Linked DNA regions of Stegostoma tigrinum. The protein of the gene in region 1 purifies or fractionates together with the protein of each later gene. This does not show direct contact. Links are inferred from orthologs where the notes say so. Each region holds a gene or a part of one and is shown in the gene's direction. Other genes may lie near its edges.

Evidence for each region.
Region 2: the proteins of ift57 (region 1) and traf3ip1 purify together in Homo sapiens (affinity purification with mass spectrometry; 3 studies listed by BioGRID and IntAct, counting the BioPlex papers as one, with this or other methods). This does not show direct contact. The link is inferred for Stegostoma tigrinum from reciprocal best matches to the Homo sapiens genes IFT57 and TRAF3IP1.
Region 3: the proteins of ift57 (region 1) and ift20 purify together in Homo sapiens (affinity purification with mass spectrometry; 3 studies listed by BioGRID and IntAct, counting the BioPlex papers as one, with this or other methods). This does not show direct contact. The link is inferred for Stegostoma tigrinum from reciprocal best matches to the Homo sapiens genes IFT57 and IFT20.
Region 4: the proteins of ift57 (region 1) and ift172 purify together in Homo sapiens (affinity purification with mass spectrometry; 3 studies listed by BioGRID and IntAct, counting the BioPlex papers as one, with this or other methods). This does not show direct contact. The link is inferred for Stegostoma tigrinum from reciprocal best matches to the Homo sapiens genes IFT57 and IFT172.

What each region holds. Positions count from the first base shown.
Region 1 is NC_081355.1:106,807,138-106,815,293, reverse strand, and holds the start of ift57 (intraflagellar transport protein 57 homolog), read left to right. Parts: upstream 1-4,651; 5' UTR 4,652-4,824; coding exon 4,825-4,979; intron 4,980-5,271; exon of another isoform or gene 5,272-5,349; intron 5,350-8,156. UniProt on the Homo sapiens protein: Required for the formation of cilia. Plays an indirect role in sonic hedgehog signaling, cilia being required for all activity of the hedgehog pathway.
Region 2 is NC_081360.1:20,757,269-20,765,625, forward strand, and holds the start of traf3ip1 (TRAF3-interacting protein 1), read left to right. Parts: upstream 1-4,637; 5' UTR 4,638-4,722; coding exon 4,723-4,845; intron 4,846-4,858; exon of another isoform or gene 4,859-5,185; intron 5,186-5,191; exon of another isoform or gene 5,192-5,524; intron 5,525-8,357.
Region 3 is NC_081380.1:36,807,521-36,815,417, forward strand, and holds the start of ift20 (intraflagellar transport protein 20 homolog), read left to right. Parts: upstream 1-4,257; 5' UTR 4,258-4,400; coding exon 4,401-4,527; intron 4,528-7,897. UniProt on the Homo sapiens protein: Part of intraflagellar transport (IFT) particles involved in ciliary process assembly. May play a role in the trafficking of ciliary membrane proteins from the Golgi complex to the cilium.
Region 4 is NC_081357.1:80,136,934-80,144,864, reverse strand, and holds the start of ift172 (intraflagellar transport protein 172 homolog), read left to right. Parts: upstream 1-4,645; 5' UTR 4,646-5,105; intron 5,106-7,931. UniProt on the Homo sapiens protein: Required for the maintenance and formation of cilia. Plays an indirect role in hedgehog (Hh) signaling, cilia being required for all activity of the hedgehog pathway.

The sequences.
Region 1 (8,156 bases):
CTGTTCTCATATTTGAATTCTTTATACAGCAAAGACTCAGTAAGTGCCGAATAAAATGGTGCAAAATTAACTTAAATGATAACATCATAAAATAAGGTTCAATGTGGGGATAGCCACTGATTTTTGTAGCATTTATTTCCATTCACAACTCTTAGATAATAATGCTGCAATGATTCCCCATTCCAGCTCTTAGTCAATATTCTGTGGTGAGTAACCTATTTCCTGAACCCATGATCTTTCCAACATCCACACAAAAGACTTCTTGCTTGATTCTGCAACATTTCTCACATAGCCCACGGCATTCAGGCCCCTACAGTGTTTGCCCTCTGTCTCCCACTTTACAACAACTACATTTCAAAGGTAGCTAGCATTAATTGTGAATTATTTTAAAATATCTTGAGGCCACGAAACGTGTTGGTATGAGCCATGTTCCTATGAAGCACCTTGGGCATTTAATATTTCAGAAAGCATTGGTTGTTAGTTGCAGTTTTTTTTTTAATTAACCTGTTCAGAGATGCTCTTACACAGCTGTGCAGCAGGTGGTAACAGGACTCAGGTCACCTGGGTTCAGAAAGGTGATGGAATAACAATGGTCTCAGTTGTAATTTAGTTGGTGACGTTCTTGCTCTGAGGCAGAAAGTTGAGTTTTGTGCACAACAATCTAAGTTGATGATCCAGTGCAGTACTGAAAGAGAGCTATATTGTCAAAAGTGGTGTTTTTCAAATGATATGTTGAATGCTGGCCACATTCATCTCTCAGATGGGCATGAAAAAGTTCCATGGTGCTATTTCAAACAGAAGCAGAAAAGTCAGCCTCAGTGTCCAGGCCAATATTTATCCCTCAACCACATCATAAAAATAGATTATCTCCACAAATATCACAATGCTGTGCACAAGTAATGTTTCCTCCATTACAATAGGGACAATAATTCAAAAAAATTCGTTAGATGTGAAATTCAGCAGTTGTGAATGCACTTTATAAAAGAATCTGTCTTCTTCTTTTCATTTGCCGAGATAACAGCAGCTGTTAAAAAAAACCCCAAGGAGATCAACACATTTCAGAAAATAATTGTTCTGCTTGATTGATAACCTACAGTCACCTTAATTATGCATAGAAACATGGAAAGATTTACACCACAGAAGCAGGTCATCTGGTCCATTGTATTCATGCTGAACAAAAAAGAGAAATACATCGTTCCAGCCAGAATGAAACATTTTAACCTTAACTGTTTGCTTCCTGCCACTGAGGCAATTTTAAGCCAACCTGCTAGTTCCCCTTGAATCCTATTAACATTTAATTTTCAGATCATTTCACACATCAAAGGCATTATTCTCACTGTCTCATATGTGACCTATACAACTGAAGGATGACTTCTCTGGCCTGCTTCAAATCCTTAAATTTGTTCTTCTTCTATGTCAAATGATTAACTGATCATTTAATTTTCCATTTGTATTACAGTATGCAAATTCGTCACAGATAGCTGAATCTTACTTTTTTCGTTAAGTGTCAGTTTTGTCAAGTTTCACGGAAGGTTTCTCTACAGAATGCTTATGGAGATATCTTGCCATTATCTTCCCAATACCATTGAATTAACTAACAACCTGCCTTGTCCAGTAAGAACCACAGTATTTAGGTAGTATGGCTGGTGTTCCTTTGCATACACTTCCCCACTCTTTCAACCTAGTCACTGTTAAACCAACAAGTGACACAGTTTCCCTGTCTTTAGTCACATCTTGTCTCACCATCCAAAGTCACAATGACTCTATCCCAAATGCCCACTGTAGATGCACATCTTGTCATTGTCCCATTGGGGAACGTTAATACAGGTAAGCAATTGGCAATTTTTAAAAAAAGCTATATGAAGACTGCACCAGAGGCTGAATGTATCAGGGTCGCCTGACCAATTGCCCCTCACCCCCAAATGGACTGAGGACTAGCTTCCACCCACTTTCAAGATGGCCATTTGGTTGAATAAACATACAGTGTGATGGCACACTAGGAGCTGGCACATACTGTCCATATTAGATTGACATCCTGGAGTGCTCTATAGCAAGATGCACTCCAGCCCAGGCAGGTCTTTACTGACAAGCACAAGAAGCAACTTACCTGTCTAAATGAGCACATCAATATCTGAAGAATGGTCCTGACCCAAAACGTCAACTTTCCTGCTCCTCTGATGCTGCCTGGCCTGTTGTGTTCCTCCAGCTCCACATTTTATAACTTCTGACTCCAGCATCTGCAGTTCTTGCTATCTCTGACATCAACATGATTGTGCTTTAGCCTTTAGACTCTGGCTGAAGCATCAAAGTGCTAACAGGCACGGCACTGCATGGCAGGGATGCTGAAAGCATGCAACTAGACATTAGGTGAGTAAGTGCTTACAGAGCAAGTGAGCAGCCTTGAGACATAACCTGGTCCAATCCATCAGCTGGGAGCCAGTCCTTGCATGCAGAATGTCCTTTTGATGCAAGTTTCAATGCGCCCTGCAATGTGTATCCTGCAAGTGGATTAGGTGCCATGAGAATCCTGGGGATTTGGTAGTTATTGGAATTAATATTGGATGAAACATTCCCTCCCTACTCAGTCACTTCAAGGTTCCTAAGACTCCTTGCAGGCCAACCAGCGTGTCAATGCTTTGTCTTCAGCTTTCAGAAGTGGCTGCTGCCCACAAACTTTGGAGGTCCTGCGCTAAAAAGGTGATATGGAGTATTGGTTGAACATGCATTGATGAGGGCTGTGCAGCTGGCGCCCAAGGATTGTGCACTGAGATGCTATTGTATGCTGAGAAACACGGAGCCTCTTTGCAGTCAGTAACAAGCTGAAGTCAGCAGGTTTTTGTTGTCTAGTTTGCACACAGTGGGCAGTAGATGAGGCAGCTGCACATTAATATGTGTAGTTAATAAGGTTGCCAACAAACAATAATCTTTCTTTATAGGTATCTCGCCATTGCCTGGTACGAATCACACCTTGACACCTGGAATAAAAAGATACAGACCCTTCTGAACTTCTTGCTTGATTCTGCAACATTTCTCATTCAGGCCCCTATAAATTTTACAACATAACAAAGTGTGAAGCTGGATGAACGCAGCAGGCCAAGCAGCATCTTAGGAGCACAAAAGCTGACGTTTCGGGCCTAGGCACTTCATCAGAAAAGGGGGATGGGGAGAGGGTTCTGAAATAAATAGGGAGTGAGGGGCAGGCGGACTGAAGATGGATAGAGGAGAAGATAGGTGGAGAGGAGAGTATAGGTGGGGAGGGGATAGGTCAGTCCAGGGAGGACGGACAGGTCAAGGAGGCGGGATGAGGTTAATAGGTGGTAAATGGACGTGTGGCTTGAGGTGGGAGATGGGGATAGGTGAGAGGAAGAACAGGTTAGCAAGGCAGGGACGAGCTGGGCTGGTTTTGGGATGCAGTGGGGGAGGGGGAGATTTTAAAGCTGGTGAAGTCCACATTGATACCATTGGGCTGCAGGGTTCCCAAGCGGAACATGAGTTGCTGTTCCTGCAAACTTCAGGTGGCATCTTTGTGGCACTGCAGGAGGCCCATGATGGTCATGTCGTCTGAGGAATGGGAGGGGATGTTAAAATGGTTCACGATTGCGAACCAAGCGGAGGTGTTCTGCAAAGCAGTCCCCAAGCCTCCGCTTGGTTTCCCCAATGTAGAGGTAGCCACAGCGGGTACAGTGGTTACAGTATACCACATTGGCAGATGTGCAGGTGAACATCTGCTTAATATGGAAAGTCATCTTGGGGCCTGGGATGGGGGTGAGGGAGGAGGTGTTGGGGTAAGTGTAGCACTTCCTGCGGTTGCAGGGGAAGGTGCCGGGTGTGGTGGGCTTGGAGGGGAGTGTGGAGCGGACAAGGGAGTCACGGAGGGCGTGGTCTCTCCGGAAAGCAGACAGGGGTGGGGATGGAAAATTGTCTTGGGTGGTGGGGTCGGATTGTAGATGGCGGAAGTGTCGGAAGATGATGCGTTGTATCCGGAGGTTGGTGGGGTGGTATGTGAGGATCAGGGGGATTCTCTTAGGGCGGTTATTGTGGGGGCGGGGTGTGAGGGAGGTGTAGCGGGAAATGCGGGAGACACGGTCAAGGGCGTTCTCGACTACTGCGGGGCGGAGGGGCAGGGGAGTTGCTTACCTTATGTTTCCCACTTTACAACAACTATATTTCTAAGGCAGCTGGCATTAATTATGAATTTTTTAGAGGCATATCAAAGTCATGAAATGTGTACTTATGAGGCATGTCACTACAAAGCATCATGGAATGTTTTATGTAATTGAAACCCTTAAGTTGTTAGTGGCAGATGACTTTTCTAAAAAAAATCTGTTCAAAAATAGTATTACACACCTCTGCAGTAGGTGAAAAGTTGAACCATAAGTCCCCTGGACTCAGTAATAGGGACATAACCCTGACACTATAAAATCCCCTCACTACTCATATACCTATTTTCCTAATCACCTCCTATACAGAGATGTAACGACACACACACACACACCTCTAAAGTGGGACTTGAACTGGGGCCTCCTCGCTCAAAAGTAAGGATATCACCGTTGCTCCACAAGTGCCCTTACCAGCTGCTTGTGGTGTTCATCATTCCCAGCCCCTAGTGATATAATACCTCGTCTTTGCAGCGTTTTCCCCTACACAACTCCTCTCACTGCTGACCTCACTTCCTGGATACGCTGTGTTCGGTTCGAACCGGGCGGGCGCATTAACCGTTTAATTTTTACATCACGGACAGTGTCCGGGCAGTGGACACAGAGCGGGCGGGTAAACCCCGGAGAAAGGCCGAGAGCCCCTCCCTCCCCTTGAGCCGCTGCTCCCATGGCCGATGATGGCCGGCGAGGCGATGAAGGGGAGCGCGGGCCTGGCGCCGTCTATCAGATGTTTGTCACCATGGAGGACCTGCTGGATAAGCTGAAGCTGATGGACTACGAGGAGAATCTGATCCGGAGAAACAACATGAAGGCGCTGTCGAGGTGGGCCTCTGTGGTAATTAACCCGGGACAGGGCTGCAGAGTGACCCCCAACCCCCATGATCTGAAACTTAGGGGAGATAGTAGGCATTGCCGAAGCTGAAGAATCTGAGATAACAAGGTGTAGAGCTGGATGAACACAGCAGGCCAAACAGTTTCAGGTTGGGACCCTTCTTCAGAAAAAAAGGAATTCTTTCCTGCTCGGCCTGCTGTGTTCCTCCAGCTCCACACCTTGTTACCTGAGTCTGAGGGGAGTCCCCTTTTGCTGCACGCCCCCTTAATCGGCCCTACTTACCATCCTATTCCCATTTCCATTTCCATTCGGCGTATTTAAAGACCTTTTGAATGTCGAAAGCAAGTAATCGGTCCAACGTATAGGCCAGAATTGAAATATTTTGTGATATTGTAGAAAGTGTACAGCCAAAATAGAGTAGAATTCCTACCCCACACACCAAGGAATGACAGCAAAGGGGGGAAAAAGTTGCATTTGCATTGAAATAGCAAAAAGTGCAGATGCTGTAGTCAGAAACAACAGTGCGGAGCTGGATGAACACAATAGGTCAGGCATCATCAGAGGCGCAGGAAAGTTGACGGAACAAAAACAGAAGTTGCTCGAAAAGCTCAGCAGGTCTGGCAGCATCTGTGAAGGAAAAAAAAAGTTAATGTTTCGGGTCCGGGTCCCTTGGGTTGAATTCTGACGAAGGATCACCAGACCCGAAACGTTAACTCTTGTTTCTTTCCTTCACAGATGCTGCCAGACCTGCTGAGTTTTTCCAGCAACTTTGTTTTTGTTCCTGATTTATAGCATCCGCAGTTCTTTCTCTTTTTATTCAGGAAAGTTGATGTTTCGGGCCGGGACCCTTCTTCAGAAATGGACCACACAGTGTCGTCACTTGCATTTATATAGCAATGTCCTACAGCCTTTCGCAGTGGATGGAGCATGTCCCCATTGTTCAAATATCACGGAGCCAGTTTGAGCTCAGCAATGTTCCACAAAGAGCATTTTAGAAAATTATTTGAGTCCTATGTGATAGACTCATGTGGACAACTTGGCAAACTTGACTACTCTTCTTTGAATGGTCGGTAAAATCTTTTACATTTATCAAAAATGACAGATTGGTTGTTAGTTGAATTTTCATCTGAAAGATGAAAGACAGTGCAGCACTCCCTCAGTACTAATTAAAGTGTCAAACTTGAATTATGTATTGCATCCCTGGACTGAGTTTGAGGTCATAATCTGACTCGGACACGAATGCTCATCAGTGAATTAAAGCCGACTGTTTATTGTTGTGAAGAAAAGCATGTGGGGAAAATAGTGTTTATCCCTGGAACAAGAAGAGTGAGATGCAAATCTATTGAAAGTTTTCAAAGCTATGAGAACTTTTTAAAAAATGTTAATAGTGGTCCATGTTTCAGTAACAAGGGGTCTAAACCTGGAATTATCCCTAAAATAATAAGGGAAAGGCAGAACATTCTTTTCACTGTTAAAATAACGAACTGTTTCTTTTATAATGTATAAAAGTGGCAATGATCATAGGATAATTTAGAAAGAATTAACTAAGTGTTTTTGAGGGCAGAGTATAAATCATAATTCACTAAATTAGATTCAGTTGAAAAGCTAGTGCTAGTACAAGTGCAATGGACCATAAAGCCTTCCTTCTGATGTTCCTGTCTGGTTCATGATAAATGTTATAAATGAATAGACTGAATTGTTGTTATCATAATGGGCTGGATTTTCCAAGGAATGGGAATGATTGCTATATGCCCTTTTTTTTATGAAAGGAAAGAGCTCCACATTTCTGACAGGAGATCCCAATCATGGCTGTTTAAATAATGCAGAGTCACACCTTGATTTTCATTCTCCTGTATTGCAGAATCTTCAAATTTCCTGGGCAGTCCTTTGGAATTTGCAGCATCTATCTTAGAGTAACAACTGCCTGGCCATCAGAAAATCTCGGCCAATATATCTATGACAATTTATCCTGATTGTTATGGTCTTTAAATTTGCTATAATAACTTTATTTGACAAGCCCTGCTTCTCATGTTTCCTTGTTTTGGTTCTACACAAGCTTCTTACAATCAGCATTCTAAAATAATAGTCAGCCAACAATTTCATGAAAGCTTGAATTTTATTTATACTTATTTTGAAGTTTGAAATGCTTCATATGTCTTTATGTTCATGCTTCATAAATCTTTATGTTCATGTAGTGCAAAGGTTATTTGACCTTTTGTAAACATTGGATATCAATGAGTTGATATTTTATGTGCTCGTATACTTTATTCCCCACTCCTTCTATCCTGAAATGGAAATCTCTAAAGTTGATCTGAAGCCTAAATGTAACCCTTCTTCCTTAGAAGAAATCCGCTGCAGCTATGTGCTCAGTTCTTTCCAAATCTTCAAATGAGGTGATTTATATTTCTGATCTTCTCAATAGCTTTGTATGAGCTCCAAAAAATATTTTAAATAATGTAATTTCTGGGGAGAGCCAGGGAGGTTATAGAGGATACACGAGATCTCAAATGTGGCATCAGTTGAAATATAATCAATTAGCGAGTTTTGAGAAGATTTGTAGCTCAGGTTGAGGTTCTGGATGTGAGTTTGCTCGCTGACCTGGAAGGTTAGTTTTCAGACGTTTCGTCACCATTCTAGCTAACATCATCAGTGAGTCTCCGACAAAGCACTGGTGTTATGTCCCGCTTTCTATTTATCTGGTTAGGTTTCCTTGGGTTGGTGATGTCATTTCCTGTTCTTTTTCTCAGGGGATGGTAGATTGGCTCCAAATCAATGTGTTTGTTGATGGAGTTCCGGTTGGAATGCCATGCCTCTAGGAATTCTCATGCGTGTTTCTGTTTGGCTTGTCCTAGGATGGATGTGTTGTCCCAATCAAAGTGGTGTCCTTCCTCATCTGTATGTAAGGATACGAGTGATAGTGGGTCATGTTGTTTTGTGGCTAGTTGATGTTCATGTATCCTGGTGGATAGCTTTCTGCCAGTTTGTCCAATGTAGTGTTTGTCACAGTTGTTGCAAGGTATTTTGTAGATGACGTTTGTTTTATTTGTTGTCTGTATAGGGTCTTTTAAGTCCATTGGCTGCTGTTTTAGTGTGTTGGTGGGTTTGTGGGCTACCCTGATGCCAAGAGGTCCGAGTAGTCTGGCAGTCATTTCGGAAATGTCTTTGAT
Region 2 (8,357 bases), on another chromosome or scaffold:
CCATCCCCTGACGCGTACGATTGGTTCAGCCCACTGTCGATCACTTGCACTCGTTCAACAGCAATAAGGCCAAGCGACACAGTTCCCACCCATAAGACAAGCCACGCCATCAATCGCATGGCAGTCCAATAAAAGCAGGGCCGGGTTTTGTTCCCACCCTCCTAATGACGGTCAAACTTGTTCCACGTTCATTACACGGACGCTCGCGTCAGCACGTCGTCTCTTTGGATTGGGTTACTTTCCTGTCAATCACACGCAAAAGCCAAATAGAAAGCGTCAGGGGAGGAAGGTCACTGGACCTGAAACGTTAACTTTGTTTTTTCCGTCACAGATGCTGCTGGGCCGTCTGAACTTTCCCAGCAACTTTGTTTTTATTCCTGATCTATCGCATCTGCGGTTCTTTCGGTTTTTAGTAAGCGTTAGTAGTTTATTTTGATACTCCGTCCACAATCTGTTTGGGCTATACCACCGTCAATCATACATATCCGTCCAATCGTGGCAAAGGAAAGCGAGGTTATTGGTTTGAATTGGCGGGCGGGTGTAATCTTCCTACCGCTATAATAACATGGAAAAGGGATAAACACTTTTTTTGTGTTTATCGTTCACACCAGTAACAGCTAGGATTATTTTTAAAATTCGGAAGTCAGTGACAATATAATCTCTCAACAAAGAGGGAACCAAAGCATGAAATAATCAGGTGTGGACTTGGATGAACACAGCAGGCCAAGCAGCATCTTAGGAGCACAAAAGCTGACGTTTCGGGCCTAGACCCTTCATTCCGCCCCCTTGACCGGTCCGCCCTCCCCGGACTGACCTATCCCCGTCCTTACCTCCCCATCTACACTCACCTCTACTGGCTCCACCCCCGCCCCTTTAACTTGTCTGTTTCCACTCCACCTATCTTCTCCTGTACCATCTTCGATCCGCCTCCCCCTCTCCCTACCCGTTTTGTGATTGAAGGGTCTAGGCCCGAAACGTCAGCTTTTGTGCTCCTGAGATGCTGCTTGGCCTGATGTGTTCATCCAGCTCCACACTTTGTTATCTCGGATTCTTCAGCATTTGCAGTTCCCATTATCAATGAAATAATCAGATTATTTTCAGCTATTGAACGTTTTGTGCTTGCTGCTCTTTGGAGTGCGGAGTCTTTTTGATTTTATTTTTGGAACCCAAAGGTTTTATTGCTGCAGTTATGTGTACTGGCACCTGTGCAAGTTTCCACGAAATCAAAGGATGTAAGAACAGAAGTAGGCCATTCAACCAATCTTATCTGCTCTGCTACTGAAAGAAGTCATGGTGATCAGCTATTTCTCAATAATTACCTGCTTTCTCCCCATAACCCTTGATTCTCATTCTTTCCTTCCTATTCAGTACTGCTTCTTAGTTAAAAAGAGATCAGCTGCAGATATGTTCTGTATTTTCTGTTTACACCTTTTCTACACCCATCTTTTGTTTCTTGTCTTGTTGCTATTTCCTTTTGCCTTGCACAAACGTCCTGTTTTGTTACTTAATTTCTTTTGCATTGTTTTTTATTAGTGCAGTTGGCATACACTTTTTCAACACAGCCTTTAAAGTGAAGAAAATCAGAACAACCTTTTTGTGATTATGTATTTACACACAATTAAAATTTTCATTGACACATGAAAGGATTGCACCACCTCAATCATTGAAAATGCTTTGTTGAGGGAAAAAATGCTAAATTCAAAGTTCTAAAATATTTATTTGTGACTCAGTTCCTGCTTAGAAAAAGTTAATGTTGATAATGCAGCATTTGAATTTTTCCAGTGCCCATTTACAGTACAAAAACCAAAAGAACTGCGAATGCTGTAAATCAGGAACAAGAACAAAGTTGCTAGAAAAGCTCAGCAGGACTGGCAACATCTGTGGATGAGAAACCAGTTAACGTTTTGAGTCCAGTGACCCTTCCTCAGTCTGAGGGTCACTGGACCCGAAACGTTAACACTCTCTTCTCCTCCACAGATGCTGCCAGACCTGCTGAGCTTTTCCAGCAACTTTGTTCTTGTTCCCATTTACAGTATGTTTTATTTAGTGTATTATTTAGTGTAACAAAGTTCAGCCAACATTTATTTTTGATGGATTTAATGAAGTTTCTTTATCTGAAATTTATCTGGTCAAACAATTGCCTACTACTGTTTTGATTGCTCATTCCATCACTCTTTCAATTGATCCGAAGCTAAATGGTCAAATAATATAATTTCTTATTCAAATCTATTGACCATATGTTTGTTTTCAGATTTTATTACCAGAATAACATTTATAATTTTCAACTCTTAATTTCAGATGCTTACCGTTCTCTCAACTTCTTCCCAGTCCAAGCTCTTCAGCTTCTGTTTCCTACTTTCCACTTTCTCGGAACAACTTTCGTTCAGGGTAGAATTTTCAGAACTTAAGGTCATCACACTGTTTTGGTGTGTGTATCCTGGGGTTAGGTACTGCATAGCCAGTTGGAGAAAGTTGCTTTGAACAACTGGTACAGGGCAAAGAGCAAGAGCCAAGTATTTGGTTTTCAATATGGCAGTACCATTAAGAATTGGGGAGGGATCTGGCTAAAGTTATACCAAAACCAAGGTAAAAGGAAAATGCTGTAAACTCTGGAAATCTGAAATAAACAAAGCACTGAAGAAACTCAGCATATCTAGTAGCATCTTTTGGAGTGGGAGAGAGAGAGAGAGTTAATTTTGAGTCATTTTGGACTTGAACAGCTATTGCATTCTTTGATTGTATACTCATCTTTACAGAAACCTCAATTCCTGAATTCAAAAGTTCCTGCAGATAATATTTGAAAAACACAGCCAGTTTATCAACATGCATTAGGAAGAATCACATATTAGTGTTTTAGGTTTGAGCTCATTATCAAAATTATTTTGGATTCAAAAATACAATTTGAGCTTTCTGTTGCCCTATAGCGGAGTATTGGAGCAGAACTTTGACAGTATACATTTGTACATCCTCTGGACATTATTTTTACTTGTACCATTACCACTCCCTCTAGCTGTTACCCACAAAATCTTTCGTCATTTAATATATCTTGTAACCCCTAACCCATCTCAGACATTTTTGTTCTTTTTCCATTCTTCCTCTTTTCACCTTTCAACAGATACTGCATTATATTTCTAACCTTTTCCAGTTCTGTTGAAAGGTCACAACCTAAACTGTTAACTGTTAAATGCCTCTCTCTCTGCAGATACTATGAGACCTGCTGAGTATTTACAGCATTTTTTGTTGTTAGACTGGGTTTACATGTGATGATCATCCTCAATCATACTTGAGACAACAAATTTCACTTGAAGCTTTTAACTGTAAACAAATTATAAATTTTGTGCTTTTCCTTGGGGAACAATTCCAATTAAAATACTGATTGGTACTAATTATGTTTTTCTTGACCACTAGAGATTGTAGAAACAAAGAAGAGTGGAGTAGGTCATTCAACCCCCTCGTGGGCTGATCATTGGACTCAGTAGGCTAATCTCACCCTCTTCCCCCAAATCCCTTGCTCTCTTTAGCCACATGACTATATTTACCTCCTCCTTGAAAAGAATAATGCTCTTCAATTAGCTAATGAGAGGTATTTTTCATGTCTCAATTTTAAAATGATATGTCTTCTTCAGATTCTTTATATAATCACATACATGGTACTTAATTATACACTTTATAGGTTAATACAATGTGACTATCTAGTTCATTATTCATATGTTTTAGAATATAACTTTTGTTTTGGAAATTTGAGTTTAGTTGCAGATGAATGGTCCATCTGATTGAGAAACTGATATTCATTTCAACTAATTCAATTCAAACAAATTTGGAGTTAATGAGATAACAAGGTGCAGAGCTGGATGAACACAACAGGACAAGCAACATCAGTGGAGCAGGAAGGCTAACGTTTTGGGTCCTGAAACATCAGCTTTCCTGCTCCTCTGATGCTGTTTGGCCTGCTGTGTTCATCCAGCTCTATACCTTGTTACCTCAGATTCTCCAGCATCGCAGGTCCTATTATCTCTGTAAGCTTGGAGTTAATCACAATTAAAAGCTAACTTATGTTTATGTTGGAAGTGTAAAATTTAAGCAATGAATGAAATCATCTCATACTTTGTAATGGAGTCAGAAAGTTTGCTTTCTCTTCCCCTATTCTCTCTGCTGAAGGCACACCCATCTTTATTATAGACAGGTTCTGAATCCATCCCAGCTGGATGTGAATTAATTTCCATGCTTGTGGCACCAATTTGATCCATATGGAAACAGAGAGTCGGTCCAACCCTTCCACACCAACTAGATATCCTAAATTAATCTAGTCCCATTTGCCATCCCATATCCCAAACCCTCCCTATTCATATAACCATGTAGATTGCCTTTTAAATGTTGTCATTGTATCAGCCTCCACCACTTCCTCTGGCAGTTCACTCCATCCATGCGTGAAAAATTTGCCCCTTCAGTCCCTTGCAAATCTTTTCCTTCTCACCTTAAACCTATGCCTAAATGAATATTGATAAAACGGTAAGGAAACGGTCTGAGTGGGGAATGAATGGTTGGGGGAAGGACGCAGTGTGTCAGCTGACAGCGCTGTTGCGGTTGTTGCTAGGCAGCCGCGTCACGCCGAAGTTGGCACGCGTTAGTGACGTAGTCGCGCACGGCGGCGGTTGGTGGAGCGGGCCTGAGAACGGCCTGGTTGGATCAGTTTATCCCGACCCAGAGGAGAGACCCAGCGCAATGAGCAACCCGTTCGTCAGACGGACCCAGGACACCCTGGGAAAAGTGATCAAGAAGCCGCCACTGACGGAGAAGCTGCTTAGCAAGCCGCCTTTCCGCTATCTGCACGACATCTTCACCGAGGTGAGCGCCGACGAGTTCCCCGAGCACTGAGACAAGGCCCGGTGGGGCGACCCTGGTTGCTAGGGACTCAATCGCCTGCTCCGATCCTTAGTTGTCGCGCACATCCGCCCGGGGACCCGCCTTTATCACAACGCAGCCAACAAGGAATATTAAGTATCCTTGAGAAGCTTGTGTGCGGGTCAGTTTCCAATGTACCGTTTCTATGTGGATGGCTCAAATCCCCTACCTTTGGTAGGACAAGGACCCTCTTGTGGAATCTTTCAGTAGTTCTGAACGATGGCAGTATGTTTCTGCTCAAACGGATGCTTGTTCATGACAACAGGCAAACTCAACACATCTGGTAATACTCGTAATCAATCCTCTTCACAGTTAAGGCATCCGAAACACCGCTTTTCCTGTCTTGAGCTCAATTAAAGCGCCCTTCCTCTATTTCCCATATGCTTGCTGATCTACATTGTCTCCTGCACAAACAACGCCACGATTTTAAAATTCTCATCCTTTCAAATCTATTCGTGGAATTGCCTCTCTCCGTGGCCTCCTTTTGCCACATGATGTACAGGCTCCGCGCTCCTCTAAGATAATAAGATGCAGATGCTGGAGTGAGAAATAACATCGTGTGGAGCTGGAGGAACACAGTGGGCCGGGCAGCATCAGAGGAGCAGGAGAGTTGACGTTTCGGGTAGGGACCTTTCTTCCGAAAGGCTTCAGCGTCCAGCTCTGCGCTCCTTTAATTCTGATCTCTACTCTTTCAACAGCTCCAGTGTTGATTGCGCAGCCATTAGTGGTTGCGTCACGGCTGCTAAGACTTGACGTTCTGGAAGACCATCCTTAATCTTCTGCACCTTTTATGAATATTTTAGCTGGCTGTTTGGCTCTGCAAGTCTATTCCAATATTCAATAACATCAAAACTAATTTGGTGTGCCAGCAACTCCACATTCACCTGTACCAACCTGGTAACTTTTGATCCTGTATTAATCTAAAATCTCATCATCTGTCTAAAATGAGAGAGCTCCATATTTTAAATTGTCCCCCATAGTTCTAGACTCTCCCATAAGGACAAGCATCCTTTCAACATTCCTATCACTTTCTTTCTCAAAACCTAACGCTTTGACCATTGCCCTAATATTTTATGTGGCTTAGCATAGAGTTTTGCTTTGTTCCTGTAATGCATCTTTATTGCTTTAAATGTGACATATGTGACTGGTGCTGGTTCTCGACTTCCATTAACTATAAAAATGATGACTGAAGATTGATTTTTGCCCATGTAGTGCCCTGCACACAATGTACTCATTGTTCCATGTATACTTAGAACATAGAACATAGAATATGGAACATTACAGCACATTACAGGCCCTTCGGCCCTTGATGTTGTGTCGACCCGTCATACCAATCTAACCTACACTATTCCATGTACATCCATATGCTTGTCCGATGACAACTTAAATGTATTTAAAGTTGGTGAATCTACTACTATTGCAGGCAAAGCGTTCCATACCCTTACTACTCTCTGAGTAAAGAAACTACCTCTGACATCTGTCCTATATCCTTCACCCCCCAATTTAAAGCCAGGCCCCCTTGTGCTCGCCGTCACCATCCTAGGAAAAAGGCTCTCCCTATCCACCCTATCTAACCCTCTGATTATCTTATATGTCTCAATTAAGTCACCTCTCAACCTTCTCTCTAATGAAAACAGCCTCAAGTCACTCAGCCTTTCCTCGTAAGACCTTCCCTCCATACCAGGCAACATCCTAGTAAATCTCCTCTGCACCCTTTCCAAAGCTCCCACATCCTTCTTATAATACGGTGACCAGAACTGTACGCAATACTCCAAGTGCGGCTGCACCAGAGTTTTGTACAGCTGCAGCATAACCTCGTGGTTCTGGAACTCGATCCCTCTATTAATAAAAGCTAAAACACTATGCCGCCTTAACAACCCTGTCAACCTGGGTGGCATCTTCACTAAAACTTAACTTCGAGTCATAGAGATGTACAGCATGGAAACAGACCCTTCAGTCCAACTTGTCCGTCCTGGCCAGGTATCCTAAATAAATCTAGTCCCATGTCCCTCTAAACCTTTCCTATTCAAATACCCATCCAGATACCTTTTAAATATTGTAATTGTGCCAACCTCCACAGTTTCCTCTGGCAGCTCATTCCATACGTGCACCACCCTCTGTGTGAAAATGCTGCTGCTTAGATCCCTTTTACTTCTTTCTCCCCTCACTTCAAACATATGCTGTCTAGTTTTGGACTCTGCCACCGCAGGGAAAAGACCTTTAGCTATTTACCCTATCCATGCCCCTCATGATTTTATACACCTCTGTAAGGTTACCCCTTAGTGTCTGATGCTCCAGGGAAAATAGCCCCAGTTTATTCAGCCTCTCCCTGTTGCTCAAACCCTCCGACTCTGACAACATCCCTGTAAATCTTTTCTGAACTCTTTCAAGTTTCACAACATCTTTCTCATAGCAGGGAGACCAGAATTGCACACAATATTCCAATAGTAGCCTAACCAATATCCTGTACAGCTGCAACATGACCTCCCAACTCAATGCACTGACTGATAAAGTCAAGCATACCGAATGCCTTCTTCACTATCCTATCTACCTGCATCTTCATTTTCAAGGAACTAGGAGCCTGTACTTCATGGTTTCTTCATCCAGCAACATTCCCCAGGACCTTACAATTAAGTGTATAAGTTCTGCCCTGATTTGCCTCTCCAAAATGCAGCACCTCGCATTTATCCAAATTAAACTCTGTGCTATTCCTCTGCCCATTGGCTCATCTGGTCAAGATCCTGTTGTACTCTGAGACAACCTTGTTCGCTGTCCACCGCACCTCCAATTTTGGTATGAAATGCAAATTTACTAACCGCACATCCCATGCTTACCTCTAAATCATTTATATACATGACAAAAAGCAGTGGACCCAGCTCCAATCCTTGTGGCACACTGCAGGTCACAGGCATCCAGTTTGAAAAGCAACCCTCCACCCTTTGCCTTCTACTTTTGAGCCAATTTTATATCCAAATGAATAGTTCTCCTGTATTCTATGTGGTTTAATCTTGCTAACCAGTCTACCATGAAGAACTGTCGTACGCCTTACTGAAGCCCATGTAGATCATGTCACCACTCTTTCCTCATCAATCCTTTTTTTTACTTCTTCAGAAACTTCAATTAAGTTCATGTAAAAATTATTTATTTTACTTTATCCCTAGCACTTTGCATTTCTGTAATCAGGGTATACATTTACTGTGATCAGAGATGATGGGAACTGCAGATGCTGGAGAATCCAAGATAACAAAGTGTGAAGTTGGATGAACGCAGCAGACCAAGCAGCATCTTAGGAACACAAAAGCTGTCGTTTTGGTCCCAGACCCTTCATCAGACCATTTCGTGGTACCCTGGTTTACTATATGGATTTTTTTGTCACTTCGAGCTTTATAACATGCTGTGTGACAATTTTAGCTTTTCTAGGTATGTTATATTAACAACATGAACTCTTGAGCAAG
Region 3 (7,897 bases), on another chromosome or scaffold:
CAAGAGTAAATTGAAAGTTACACACTCATCTGCTGCTTAAAATTCAATTATGTTAACTATCTAGAAGACAGTATGCAAGTTTTAAAATTCTAATGAGAAAAAGTACTTTACATTCTTGGCATAATCAAATGTGTTAAAATACCAAACCACCCACTAAATGAATTGCATTCTTGAACAGAATAAATACTCTGCAGACTTCCAAACCCATCTCCATAATGTAGGTTCATGAGAGAGGATTCTCAAACTTCAGTCCAAAACTTGAGAATTTAAGCATTTAGTCTACAATGAAATACCATCACTTTCAATTGTACTTTAAAATGTGCTACCTGTTGGGTTAACAATAAAATCCAATATTTTATTGAAGAGACAATAGTATCACAAGGATAACAAACAATGGAACAAATCACAGGTGTGATAAGTCAAATGAAATCTAAGCTGAAAAAAATCTGTCAATACAGTGGAGAAATTGTAGTATTGAGAATGCAGAAATACATTCCAACATGGATCAGTTTCAGCAGAATGTCAGTCAATGTTGTTACAAAGTTAATTGAGGGAGAAATATTATTAACAAAATCAAATCAATGCAGTATTAAGTGTCTCAACAGATAACATCGAGTTCATTGCTAACCACAGTAGACTGGAAATTCAGTTTGGAAATTTGCGTTGTATTTGAGAAAAACAAAGCAAAAACAAAATAAAAGCCAAGTATTTTACTCTAGCCATCTCACTATTTGATAATTTCCTACCATAGCAGGCAATTTGGTACTCAAACTAAAAATGATTTCTTTCTTTAAGGCCAATCAGTAAATCTAAATGCTTGCTTTATAATAACATACCATTTTAATATAGTAAAATGTTCCAAAGCACTTATTTCACAGCAGAGCCAAGAAACAAAATCTGATACCAAGCCACAAGAATTTGAGGGCAGATGATCAAAAGCTTGGTCAAAGCAGTAGGTTTAAGTGTAGTAAAAGAAGAAAGACAAATAACACAACAGAAATCTTTAGGGAGGGAATGAGGCTTGGACTGGGTAAGATATAGTCACCAACAATAGAGGAACTAAACCCGAGAGACCAGAGTTTGAAGATTACAGGCATCCAGGGAGTCGGAGAAGCTGGAGGAGATTGCACGTGGCATCAGGTTCATTGCAGGTGCCGTTTTTGTGTTCCTACACTTATCCTTGAAACATGTAGATAACAAGGACACTTACTATTTATTGGCCTCAACTCCACCTTGAACGCCATAATTTTAACCAAACTCATCTCTAAACTCCGAGACCTAGGACTCTGCTCGCTTGACTGCAACTGGTTCTTTGACTTCCTGACCTGCAATCAGTGAAGATGGGTGTCAAGACCTTGATGATAATACTCAACACCACTGTTCTGCAAGGCTTAGCCTCTTATTAAACGCCTTACGCACACACAACTGTGTGGCCAAATTCAGCTCTAACTCCATTTACATGTTGACACCACCAATGTCAGTCAGATTTCAAACAAAAACAAGACAGAGTACAGTAAAGAGATAGAGATAGCAGGAACTGCAGATGCTGGAGAATCTGAGATAACAAGGTATACAGCTGGATGAACACAGCAGGCCAAGCAGCATCATAGGAGCAGGAAAGCTGACATTTCGGGCCGACCTAGTTCTTTGCAGCTCACCGTCATTTTATTATCTGAATATTTGCAATTTTGAGAATTTAGGCTTCATTACATTTGAATAACCTGCAGATCTTGAGCCAAACAATGTTAGCATGGACATTAAATATGCTTTTCTCACTTATCAACTGTGCCTTATCTGAACCGTTACATACTCATTTCCAAGCCCAAAAAAAACCTAGCTTCACTTCTCCTGCTGACTACCGTTTCTTTTGTACTTCACAAATTTAAGCTTAAACTGAATTTGAAGGGTCTAGGCCCGAAACGTCAGCTTTCCTGCTCCGATGATGCTGCTTGGCCTGCTGTGTTCATCTAGCTCTACACCTTATTATCACAGGAAAGAGATAGAGAGTTTAGTGGCATGGTGTAAAGACAACAATCTCTCTCTGTGTCAGCAAAATAAAACAGCTGGCCATCGACTTCAGGAAGCAGAGTGGAGGACACGCCCCTGACTGTATCAATGGTGCTGAGATGGAGATGGTTGAGAACTTCAAGATCCTAGAAGTAAATATCATCAACTTGTCCTGATCCATTCATATCTATGCTATAGTCAAGAAAGCACTCTAATGCCTCTACTTCCTCAGAAGGTTAATGAAATTCAGCATGTCCACAATGGCTCTTACCAATTTTTATAGATACACCATAGAAAGCATCCTATATTACATATTACAGCTTGGTATGGCTCTTTCCAAGACCACAAGAAATTGCACAGTTGTGAACGGACCCCAGACCATCACATAAAACAGCTTTCCTTCCATTGACTCGCTCTAGAATTCCCACTGCCTCAGAAAAGCTGCCAACATAATCTAAGACCCCTCCCACCTCTTCCATCAACAGAAGATGTAAAAGTTTCAAAACATGTAACAACTAATTTAAGAACAGGGTCTTCCCTTCTGTTATCCGACTTATGAATGGACCTCTCATATATTAGAGCTCATCATTCTCTGCACCTTCTCTTCAGTTTCGGTATGTGACAAAAATAAATAAAATAAAACTAAATAAATAAGAACAAAATCAGATAAGGAGGGACAAGGCTGTGGCAAAATCTGAAACCAAAGATGAAAACTTCAAAATGTAAGTATTACTTAACTGGATCCAATGTTGATAAGTCAGCAGAGTTGATACTGAAGGGGATTGATGCACATACATGTATTGAAGGGTAAATCACGAGAAGCTGAAACACATTGGAATAGCTGTGTCTAAAGGTAGCAAACACATGCATTTGTTTCAGCAGATGAGCTGAACCACAGTCAGGGGTGGAAACAGGCAGTCTTTGTTTGGGACTCATATTGAAGTCAAATTCAATACAAAGATTTTAAACGATCAGATTCAATGTCAGACAATTACTGAGGAGAGGAGTGGAATGGATACCCAAGGGGCTGAAAGCAACAAAAGCTGAAGGCTCCTTCGGTCTTTCCAACATGAGAAGAAATTTCTGTTGTCGAATACAGTGTGGTCTTTTAGAAAGTATTGGTGAGGTAAAGGGGAAAACTCGATGAAACCGATGCAACCTAGGAAATATCCAGCTTCAACCTAAACCAATGGCATAGCCTGCTTAAACAATTCACTTAGAGCTCTCAAATTTGGGGCGAGTTTGAGGGAGTTCCACCCTCTACGATCACTTCTTCCAGCTGCCATGAGGAGCCTAAACTCGCTTCAAAACAAAGGTTTTAAACGATCAGATTCAATGTCAGACAATTACTGAGGAGAGGAGTGGAATGGATACCCAAGGGGCTGAAAGCAACAAAAGCTGAAGGCTCCTTCGGTCTTTCCAACATGAGAAGAAATTTCTGTTGTCGAATACAGTGTGGTCTTTTAGAAAGTATTGGTGAGGTAAAGGGGAAAACTCGATGAAACCGATGCAACCTAGGAAATATCCAGCTTCAACCTAAACCAATGGCCTAGCCTGCTTAAACAATTCACTTAGAGCTCTCAGATTTGGGGCGAGTTTGAGGGAGTTCCATCCTCTACGATCACTTCTTCCAGCTGCCATGAGGAGCCTAAACTCGCTTCCATTGAGGCGGTCACTGACATCTCTTTATCGACAATCGCTCAGTCCGCTTTGCTGAACTTTGTTCTGACAACACTGTCCAAAGCGAGTTTGTTTATTCGTTCGTTAAAACCCTCCCCACCCCCGAAGTAGGCCCAGTACCTGCAGCAGTTGCCGTGCCGACCATTCAAACCGCCTCCGCTCCTCCTTCTCTTCCGGCGCAAGGGCATTCACACGTGACTTCGATCCCGTCCGTACTCGTCTAACTGCGCACGCGCGCTAGCCACACGCCGGCTCCCGATTTAGTGCGCACGCGCGCAGATATATTTCCCGCCGCTGGATTGCACTTTCATGGCTCAGTTAAAGTGCCGTCCAGTCGCCCAGGCCATCTCACCGATGGTTGGAGCTCGCCGATAAATGATCATTTAAAACAACAAAGAGCGAAGATTCGCTAGCTTCAACCGTTATTTTGTGTTGCAGTGAGATTTCTTTTTAAATCCTTCTGTATACAATACTCTGGACAAACGGCAAACTAAAGTTCTTCAGCTCTCCAGAATCTGTCTGGTAAGAAAGATCAAAAATAATGTTGCAGAAACCCACACTACCTTGAGAGACTGAGTGAGTTTTGATACTGAGCACGCGCGACATCCGTGGGTGCCCCGCCCCCTGTGACCGCGCATGCGCAGCAGGGCGGAGAGAGCCGTCGCTGTCGCCGTGGCAGCGGCAGAGGGGACGAGAGGGTATTGTTGATTCTGATGGCGATGGAGTCCCTCGGGGAGGCCGGCCTGCACTTCGACGAACTCAACAAACTCAGGGTCCTGGACCCTGAGGTGGCGCAAAGTACAACAGAATTGAAGGAGGAGTGCAAGGACTTTATAGAAAGTAGGTGCGGAGCAGGATATCTGTCACGGTATGGAGGGGTTGCGGGAGGATGGTAAAGAAAACTAGGATAGACAGAACATGTACATTATACAAAGCCTCTCACCAGTCCGGAACTTTTCGAAACTTATTTTTCGGTGGCCAATTTAGTACTTCTTTGTTTAGGAGCTGCAGTTATCTGGGGAACATGGAAAATGCTTTGTACATAGCAAGATCCCACAGATTGGCAAATTGTTGGTTGAGAGGTAACCGTCGGAAAGGATTACTGAGAGCTTTGCCCTTCGAAATGATGCCATGGGATCTTTTGTTTGGAACTGAGAGGGCCAACAGAGCATCAGTTTAAACACTCATTTGAAAGATGACATCTCTCACAGTGCACCCTTTTGTATTACATTAACCTAAGCCCACGTCAGTCTTCCTGCTCCTCTGCTATTTGGCTGCTGTGTTCATCCAGCTCTACGCCTTGTTATCTCTTAACTTAAATTAGGCCTTTCACCCGATCAGAGATAATGGGAACTGCAGATCCTGGAGAATCCAAGATAATAAAGTGTGAAGCTGGATGAACACAGCAGGCCAAGCAACATCTCAGGAGCACAAAAGCTGACGTTTCGGGCCTACAGCCTTCATCGGAGAGGGGGAGGCGGACCGAAGATGGATAGAGGAGAAGATAGGTGGGGATAGCCCGGGGAGGACGGACAGGTCAAGGAGGCAGGATGAGGTTAGTAGGTGGGAAATGGAGGTGCGGCTTGAGGTGGGAGGAGCGGATAGGTGAGAGGATGAACGCGTTAGGGAGGCGGGGATGAGCTGGGCTGGTTTTGGGATGCAGTGGGGGGGAGGGGACGAGCTGGACTGGTTTTGGAATGCAGAGGGAAAGGGGGAGATTTTGAAGCTGGTGAAGTCCACATTGATATCATTGGGCTGCAGGGTTCCCAAGCGGAATATGAGTTGCTGTTCCTGCAACCTTCGGGTGGCATCATTGTGGCACTGCAGTAGGCCCAGGATGGACATGTCATCTAAAGAATGGGAGGGGGAGTGGAAATGGCTTGCGACTGGGAGGTGCAGTTGTTTATTGCGAACCGAGCGGAGGTGTTCTGCAGAACCCTCTGATGGTTCTAGGCCCGAAACGTCAGCTTTTGTGCTCCTGAGATGCTGCCTTCTCCTGATCCCAGCTCTTGTCAGATATTTACTATTCATTCTGACCTTCTGTTCTCTGAATGTTCTGTGTTCAGGAAAGGACTTCGTTTTACCCCTTTGTGCCCCTACTTCAATAGCACAACATGACATTAAATTCTTCTGCTGTTCTCTTTGCCTCCATGCCCATTCATTTGGACAAGAGTCCTCTCCCTGACCAATAGACATCTCTTGGCCTGCCTCCAATACGCTGCCTCCACTTGGACCCCTTCCTATGGCCTTTTACCAATTTGCACTTGACCTGTTTGGGAGAGCTTTTGCCTGACATTGGCTGCCTTTACTTCAATCCCCCATCCAGTCAAACCTATATCCCTCTGAACAGACTGCACTGCACGCTCTTTGACCCAACCCTGACTTTGTAATTGTTCCTGCTGATAAGGGTGGTGCTTCTGTTGTCTGGTCTATTGACTGATATATTGTGGAGGCTGAATGCCATCTCCCAGACACCACTAACTATTTTCCGTGGGTTACAGTGCCACCAGGAAACATCAGGCTGAATTATTAACTGTACAATGGTTATTAATCTCATCTTATCTGGGGATTCCACACACACCCAGCCTCCAAGCTCATAGCCCATCAACCCTGTACAGCCTGCTTGTATCTTCGTGAAATTCGTTTGGCTCAACAGATGTTACAAAGTTCTATAAAAAGTCAGAACTAAAGGTTCTATCTAATTGTATTTTGTTTCTCTATTCATTTCGTAGTATCCCTACAGTGTGGAAACAGGCCCTTCAGCCCAACAAGTCCAAACCGAACCTTGGAGCATCCCACCCAGACCCATCCCCCTATAATCCACCTAAGCTACACATCCCTGAACACTATGGTGATCTAGCATGGCCAAACCACCTAACGTGCACATCTTTGGACTGTGGCAGGAAATCGGAGCACCCAGAGGAAACCCACACAGACACGGGAAGAATGTGCAAATTCCACACAGACAGTTGCCCAAGGGTGGAATTGAACCCAGCTCCCAGGCACTGAGGTAGCAGTGCTAACCACTGTGCCGCCCCTGATGGGATGTGGGTATCGCTGACTGGCCAGCATTTCTTGCCCATCCCTAATTTCCTTTGAGAAGGTGGTGGTGAGCTACCTTCTTGAACTGCTACAGTCCTCTTGCTATGGGTTGATTCACAATGCTATTAGGGAGGTAATTTCAGGATTTTGACCCAGTGACGGTGAAGAAATGGCAATATTTTTCTAAGTCAGGATGTTGAGTGGCTTGGAGGTGGTGGTGTTCCCATATGTCTGATGACTTTGTTCTTCTAGATGGAAGTGGTCGTGGGTTTGGAAGTTGCTGTCTGAGGATCTTTGATAAATTTATGTAGTTCATCTTGTAGATTGTACACGCTGTTGCTACTGAGCATCAGTGGTGGAGGGAGTGGATGCTTGTGGATGTAGTGCGGTCAAGCAGGCTGCTTTGTCCTGGATGGTGTCAAGCATCTTGAGTGTTGTTGGGGTTGCATTCATCCAGGCAAGTGGGGAGTATTCCATCACAATCATGAGTTGTGCCTTGTAGATGGTGGACAGGTTTTGAGGAATCGGGAAGTGAGTTACTTGCTGCAGTATTCCTAGCTTCTGGCCTGTTCTTGTAGCCACTATGTTTATGTGGTTAGTCCAGTTGAGTTTCCGGTCACTGATAACCCCCAGGATGTTGACTAGTGGGGGATTCAGTGACGGTAACACCATTGAATATCAAAGGATGGTGGTAAGATTGTCACTTATTGGTGATGGTCATAGTGTGGCATTTGTGTGGCACAAATGTCACTTGCCACTTGTCATCCCAAGCCTGGATAATGCCTGGATCTTGTTGCATTTGAGCTGCTTCAGTATCTGAGAAGTCATGAATGGTGCTGAACATTGCGCAATCATTAGTGAACATCCCCATTTCTGACATTATGATAGAGGGAAAGTCATTGAAGCAGCTGAAGATGATTGGACCGAGGACATTACCCTGGGTAACTCCTACAGAGATGTACTGGAGCTAAGATAATTGACCTCCAACAACCATGACCATCTTCCTATGTGTCAGGTATGACTCTAACCACTGGAGAGTTTGCCCCCTGATACCCATTGATTCCAGTTTCGCTACAGCTCCTTGATGCCACACTTGGTCAAATGCAGCCTTGATATCAGGGGCTGTCACTCTCACCTCACCTCTGGAATTCAGCTCTTTTGTCCATGT
Region 4 (7,931 bases), on another chromosome or scaffold:
CATCATTTCCCAAACCCGCACCACCCATTTCTATCTCCTTTCCAAAATTGACAAAACCCACTATCACTAGTATCCTTACATACAGATGAGGAAGGACACCACTTTGATTGGGACAACACATCCATCCTAGGACAAGCCAAACAGAGACATGCATGAGAATTCCTAGAAGCATGTCATTCCAACCAGAACTCCATCAACAAACACATTGATTTGGAGCCCATCTACCACCCTCTGAGAAAAAGAACAGGAAATGACATCACCAATTCAGGAAATGACATCAACACAGGAAATGACATCACCAACACAAGGAAACCTAAACAGATAAATAGAAAGCGGGATAGAACACCAATGCTTCACCAGAGACTCACTGATGATGTGACCTAGAATGGTGACAAAACGTCTGGGAACGAACCTTCCAGCTCAGTGAACCAGCTTACATCCGGAACAAAATAAAGACCCACTGTTTTGTGGACTGAGAAGAGGAGAGCACGACTGTGTAGGAGGTGGAAGGAAGATGTCGGGTTGACTGTGCATCCTCGCAACCGGTGGATCTTAATGTTAGCTTCGGCCTAACGCTGGTTCAGCGAAGCAGCCAACCTGCAACGATGGCTGCGGTGAGTGCTCGTGCCCCAGGTCAGGGAGTCCGGAACACCATCCGCGTTTCCGTGAAGAAGGTGGATGAAGGTGCACCTGTGGACTGCACCTTCTTCGTGAAGAGGGTCCCGTTGGACTGTTGTGGCTTCACTGCTGCGGACATTTACTGCCTGCAGGACTTCCCTGGAGGAGGTTTCTACGATGTAACCTTCAGGAGTGCCAAGCTTTGCGAGCGCTTCCTGGAGGTTTTCAATGAGAAAGGAGGTGAGGGCCCCCTCTCTGTACTGACTGCTGTCCCGCTGTTCGTGATGCCGGTGCAGAGGAGCCGTATGGTATGTACACAGGTACAACCCGCATGTGCCAGCAGCTGATGTTCTGACCTTCCTCAGAAGGTACGTGAAGGTGGTAGGGGACCTAACCTACATCATGGATCCCTTCGGGATCTGGACCAGTAACAGGCAGGTCAAGGTGACGCTGAGGACGGGCACAGACGGGAGCATCGTACACCCACCGTCCTGCTTCGCGATCAGTGGGAGCAAGGGCTACCTGACCTACGCAGGGCAACCTAAAGTCTGCCATGCCTGTGGTAGGTCAGGTCACGTGGCAGCCGACTGCAAAGCCACCATCTGCAGGGAGGAGGAACACCTTGCAAAGGATTGCCCAAAAGAAAAAAGCTGCAACCTTTGCGGGGAAGCAGGCCACCTCTATGGTGCATGCCCGTGGAGGGGGACCACCTACGACCAGGTCGCCGGCAGGGGCAATGCGGGGCAAGCCCCCCTGGAGGAGAGGAAGGCACCAGGCCCCTGCAAGGACCCCCCTAATGTGCAAGAGGGCCGGGTTGTGCAGGAGGGCCCAGCCCCGCAGGACGGACCCGAGGCCAGCAAATCGCCTCTGCAGGCTCTGCGCCCCCACAACAACCCGGAGTCGATGGAGGAGGCGACAGGTGACCCAGGGGAGTGGACAACGGTCCGGAAGGCAAGGAGGAAGGTGCGCCAGCGGGCCCCAGCACCGCAACCATCAGGCGGGAAGAGGCAGCTACAGGGGGGGCTATAAGAGCTCCTCTGATGAGGGGGATTCGGAGGAGGCCCGCCCAAAACAGAAGCTAAAGATCTCATGGGAGCAGGAAAGCAGCACCCTGATTCCAGGTGACGGGAGGTGTCCTGAGGCTGCCTCCGACACCCAGCCACGCGCCACTGTAGGGGGGCGCCTCCTAGTGGCTGATGTCACCTACAGGAATGCTCCCCTGAGGCTGATCGACGTGTACGCCCCAGCGGTACGGAGTGAGCGGTTGGCCGTCCTGTAGCGGCTTCCACCCCTGCTGGCTACGTCCAGGCCGGTCATCCTAGGCGGAGACTTCAACTGCATCATCGATGCAGATGGACGATCCGGCGTGGGGACAGCGGGTAGGGGGAGTCAACTGGACATCACGTCCAGATTCCTGATGGGCACGGTGAAGGACGCCAAGCTGCTCGACGTCTTCAGCATCCCTGCAGACGGAGCGCAGTGGAGATACACGGCCAGACGGGTCTATCCGCTCAAGGATAGACTTGCTGTTTGTGTCACCGGCGTTCTCGGTCAGGTCCACCGGCGTCGAGCCGGTGTTCTTCTGACCACTGCCTCCTGCTGGCCGACTGTCACTTACAGGACGACCAGCTGGCTGGCAAGGGGACGTGGAAGCTCAACACGACTCTGTTGACCCCAGAGAATGTCGAGGAGCTTAAGAGGGAATACATGGTTGGAGAACCGTGAAACCCCTCTTTGAGTCTCCGGGCGACTGGTGGCAGTCAGTGAAGGAGAACATCAAGAGGTTCATTGTCCTCAAGGGTGTTCAGAAGGCGGGAGAGAGGCGGGGGAAGCTGTCGTGACTCCAGAAAAGGATGCAGAACCTGTACCTTCTGCAGTCGATGGGGGTCGATGTCATGGAGGACCTCCACGAGGTGAGGGGCCAGCAAGCCTCGCTCTTCGCCGCGGAGGCCTCCAGGATAATCTTCCAGTCCAGGGTCCACTATGTGGAGCAGGACGGGACGTGCTCGCATTTCTTCTTTCAGAAGGTGCACAAAGAGAGCTCTGTGCTTAGCCGACTGAAGGACGACGATGGCTTGGTGACGTCGTCTTGGCCCGACATTTTGAGGATCAGCAGATCCTTCTACGCCGGGCTGTACGACGCGATGCCCACGGACAGCACGCCCTTCGAGTCGTTCCTGTCGTCTATCACGGAGGTCTTAGACAACGTCACGAGGGAGTGTCTGGACCGGCCGATATCCCTGGACAAGCTGACCAGAGCCCTCAAGTCCTTTGAGAGGAATAAGGCTCCCGGGAGTGATGGCTTACCGGTTGATCTGTATTCCGCTCTGTGGGACCTGGTCGGCCAGGACCTGCGGGAGGTGTACGATAGTGCGCTTTGGGCAGGGGAAATGTGCAAGTCCATGAGGAAGGGCATCATCACCCTTATTTACAAGAGGAAGGGGGAAGAGGGAAGAAATTAAGAATTGGCGTCCCATTTCATTATTGAATGTGGACTACAAAATCCGGGCCAAGGTCATAGCCAACCGGGTCAGGTCTGTCCTGCAGTCAGTGATTCACACTGACCAATCCTGTGCTGTGCCGGGCAGGAAGATCACTGAGAGCCTTGTGCTCATCAGGGATACGATCGCCTACGTGCAGGACAGGCGGGTGGACACCTGCCTCGTCAGCCTGGACCAGGAGAAGGCCTTCAACAGGGTTTCTCATGCTTACATGAGGGACGTCCTCTCCAAATTGGGATTCGGGGAGGGCATCCATAATTGGATCCGGCTGCTCTACACCAACACCGTTAGCGCAGTCTCGATCAATGGGTGGGAATCGGACAGTTTTCCTGTCAGATCTGGAGTCAGGCAGGGCTGCCCACTCTCTCCTGCCTTGTTCGTGTGTTGTATGGAGCCCTTCGCCGCATCCATCAGGAAGGACGTGAGCCTGAAGGGCATGACTATCCCAGGCAGCGGAGGCCTTCAGGTCAAGACCTCCTTGTACATGGACGACGTCACCGTCTTCTGCACCGATCGTCAGTCGGTGAGTAGGCTGTTGGACATCTGCGGCCAGTTTGAACTGGCCTCGGGTGCCAAAGTCAATGGGGGTAAGAGCGTGGCCATGTTCTTCGGGAACTGGGACAACCGCTGCTTCATCCCCTTCACCGTCAGGACAGACTACCTGAAGGTGCTGGGTGTTTGGTTCGGTGGAGCTAGGGCGTGCACTAAGACTTGGGAGGAGCGTATCACCAAACTGAAGCAGAAGCTGAGCAGGTGGACGCTCCGGTCCCTCTCCATCGCGGGTAAGAACCTGGTTGTCACGTGCGAGGGGCTTTCAGTACTGTTGTATGTGGCGCAGGCCTGGCCTATTCCCTGGACCTGCGTCGCTGCGGTCACCCGGGCCATCTTCCACTTCATTTGGGGGTCGAGGATGGTCCAGGTCTGCAGGGACACCATGTACAAAGACCTGGAAAATGGGGGAAAGGACGTACCGAACGCCACCCTCGCCCTGGTGGCTACCTTTGTGTGTGGCTGCATCAAGCTCTTACTGAGGTTCTACCTGTCCCCGGTGTTGCGAAGGATGGGCCTGGCCTCATTGCCGCGGAACCCTCCAAGTAGTTGGCCCGTCCCATACCACCTGTCCTTCGTGGAGAAATTTTTGAAAGGAAACACCTTTGACCACAAGGCCGTCAGGCAGTGGTCAGCACGTAGTATCCTCGAGACCCTTCGGGAAAAGGAGAGGGTGGATCGCGTCGTGTGGTTCCCCACGCAGACTGCCAAAGTCATTTGGCAGAATGCCTCATCGCCAGAACTTTCAAACAAGCACAAGGACATTGCTTGGCTAGCGCTGAGAGGGGCTCTGCCAGTGAGATCCTTTATGCATGCCCGGAATCTCTGCGCCACCGCACGCTGCCCTTGAGGCTGCTGCGGGGGGGACGAGAGTGTCGATCACCTCCTTCTGGAGTGTGCCTATGCGCAGGAGGTCTGGAGGGGGATGCAGTGGTATTTGTCGAGGTTCGTCCTGAGCAGCTCCATGACACGGGACTCCGTGCTCTACTGGCTGTTTCCCAGGACGCACGCCGAGACCAACATCAACTGAGCCTGGAGGACCATCAATGCGGTGAAAGACGCTCTTTGGTCTGCCCGCAACTTGCTGATCTGCCAGCTGAAAGAACTGACCCTGACCGAGTGTTGCCGACTGGCGCACTCCAAGGTCCATGACTACGTGCTGACGGACGCGCTAAAGCTTGGGGCAGCCGCTGCCAAGGCGCGGTGGGGAAAGACCACCGTATGAAACCCCTCGTCCAGAATAGAAAAAAGGGCCCTATCTGGTAACTGGGCCCAGCTGGCGCCTTCCCCAACTGGTCAGGGGCCAATGGGGACTGTGCGGGGAGATGACTGCCAATGTATTTTCTTTGCTTTGTTTTTTTTTTCATCTTTGTTTTGTTTTTGCCTCTAGTTGGTGTATGTACCCCTTGGGTAACCGGGAGCAGCTTGCATGACTGGGTAGGTGTATAAATGTTTTATTTTCTGTATATTCTATGAATAAAGTATATTTTTTCAAATAAAAAAAGTGACAAAACATCTGAAAACGAACCTTCCAGCTCAGTGAGCAAACTTACATCCAGAACCTCATCTTTATCATGGATGTCCAGTCCCTACACACTTGCATTACAGGCCTTCCGTTTCTTCCTGTTCTGCAGGCCCGACCTGTCTCCCTCCACTGACACCCTCATCTGCTTAGCTGAACTTGTCCTCACCCATCTTCAATTCCTTCCAACTTCCTACAGACAAAGGGGTACCCACATGGGCCCAAATTATGCCTGCCTCTTTGTGGGATATGTGGAACAATCCCTGTTCCAAAGCTACACTGGCCCTAACCCCCACCTCTTCCTCCATTACATCGATGACTCTATTGGCGCTGCCTCGTGCTCCAACTTGGAGCTCAAAAAGTTCATCCACTTCACTAACACCTTCACCCCAACCTTAAGCTCACCTGGACCATTTCTGATACCTTTCTCTCCTGCTTGAACATCTCTGTCTCTATCTCTGTCCTCTCATCCACTTTGCTGCAAGAAGGCCATCCCCTTATTTCCAATTGCTTTGCCTCCGCCGCATCTGCTCCTGAGATGAGACATTCCACTCCCAGACAGCCTGGAAGACCTTGTTTTTCAAGGACTGCAATTTTCCCTCCGCATTGGTTGAAAATGCCCTCAGCCATGTTCTTCGCATTTCCTGCAACTCATCCCTCACACCCCCTACCTGCAATAACAAACAAAACAGAATCCCTCTCGGCCTCACGTACCACCCCACCAACTGCCAAATCCAATGCATCTTCCTCCCACACTTCCACCATCTGCAATCTGACCCAACTACCAAAGACCTTTTTCCCTCCTCACCCTTATCTGCTTTCCAGAGGGACCACTTTCTCTGTGACTCCGTTGTCTGCTCCATACTCCCCACCAGCCCCACCACCCCTGGCACTTTTCCCTGCATCCACAGCAAGTGCTACACCGATGCCACCCGAAGGCTGCAGGAACAGCATCTCATATTTGGCTTGGGATCCCTGCATCCCAATGGTATCAATGTGGACTTCACAAGCTTCAAAATCTCCCCTCCCCCGCCCACATCCCAAAACCAGCCCAGCTTGTCCCCGCCTCCCTAACCATTCCTCCCACCTCAAGCCCCACCCCCATCTCCTACCCACTAGCCTCATCCCGCCTCCTTGATCTGTCTGTACTCCCTGGACCAACTTATCCCCTCCCTAAATCCCCACCTACATCACCTTTACTGGTTCCAATCCCACCTCTTTGACCTGTCTGTCTCCCCTCCACCGATCTTCTCCTTTATCCATATTCCACCTCCCTCCCTCTTTCTACCTATTTATTTCAGAATCCCCTTCCCATCCCCCATTTCTGAAGAAGGGTCTTAGTCTGAAATGTTAGCTTTCCTGCTCCTCTGATGCTGCTTCATCCAGCTGTACACCTTGTTATGTCAGATTCTCCAGCATTGGTAGTTCCTGCTATCATTGAGATTGTTGACTTGCTCGCTGAGCTGGCTTGTTCTTGTTCAGACATTTCATCACCATGCTAGCTGACATCATCAGTGGACCCCCCCCAATGAAGAAATGTTATTCTACTCCGCTTGGAACTTATACTGTTTGATCTGTTAAGGTGAGTCCTGTCATTTCTGGTTTTATCTGTATGGGTTTGTATACAGGGTCCAATTCTGTGTGTTTGTTGATTGCATTATGGGCAGAGAACCATGCGTCTAGGAATTCCCGTGCGTGTCTTTGTTTGGCTTAGGCTACAATTGTTACCTTGTCCAAGTTAAACTGATGGCCTTCATTGTCTGAGTGTACAGATATTAAGGAGAGTTCGTTGTGCTGCTTTGCTGCTAGTTGATGTTCATGTATTCTGATGGCTAGTTTCCTTCCTGTCTACCCACTGTAATGTTTGTAGCAGTCATTGCATGTAAACCACGTTGGTTCTGCATGTTTTGGGAATGGGGGCTTTAATCCTTGTAAGTGTTTGTTGTAGAGTGGCTCTGGGCATGTGGGCCACCATGATTCCTAGTGGTCTTATAGCAGTCTCTTTGTCAGTTCCAATGTGTTCTTGATATAAATGCAATGTGGCTAGTGCGTTAAGGCATATTGTGTCCTCCTGTTGTTGTCTGTTTAGTAGGCATCTGCAGATGAAGTTGCGGGGAACTCCTTTTAAAGTGAGGATTTTATATAGGTGCTCTTCCTGTTTCCTGCATAGTTCTGGGGTGTTGCAGTGTGTCCTGACCCATTTAAATAGTGTCCTAATGCAGCTTTATTTGTGGGTGTTGGGATGGTTGCTGTGGAAGTTACATTTTCGATCAGTATCCGTTGATTTTCTGTATACTGAGAATTGGAACTCCCTGTTGGTCCTATGCACATCTTTAACATCCAGGAGTGGAAGTTGATTGTTGCTTTCTTCTTCCCTTATGAATTTAATCCCCGTGAATACGCTGTCGATGGGGTTGTGGGTCTCTTCTAATTTGTTGTGTTTAAGAATGACAAATGTTTTGTCTACGTACTGAATACGTAGTTTAGGTTGAATGCAGGGGAGGTTGGTGTGTTCTAGTCTTTGCATGACTGCTTCTGCAATGAATCCTGACATGGGTGACCCCATTGGTGTACCGTTGATCTGTTTGTTTACTTCACAATTAAAGATGAAATGTGTGGGAAGGCAGAGTCTAGTCGTTTAAGTATGTTGTCATTGCTGATTGAGCTCCTGGTCTACGTTGAGATCCTAAAAGAATATTTCTCATCAGTCTTTACCATCAAAAAAGGCAAGGATGCTAGGG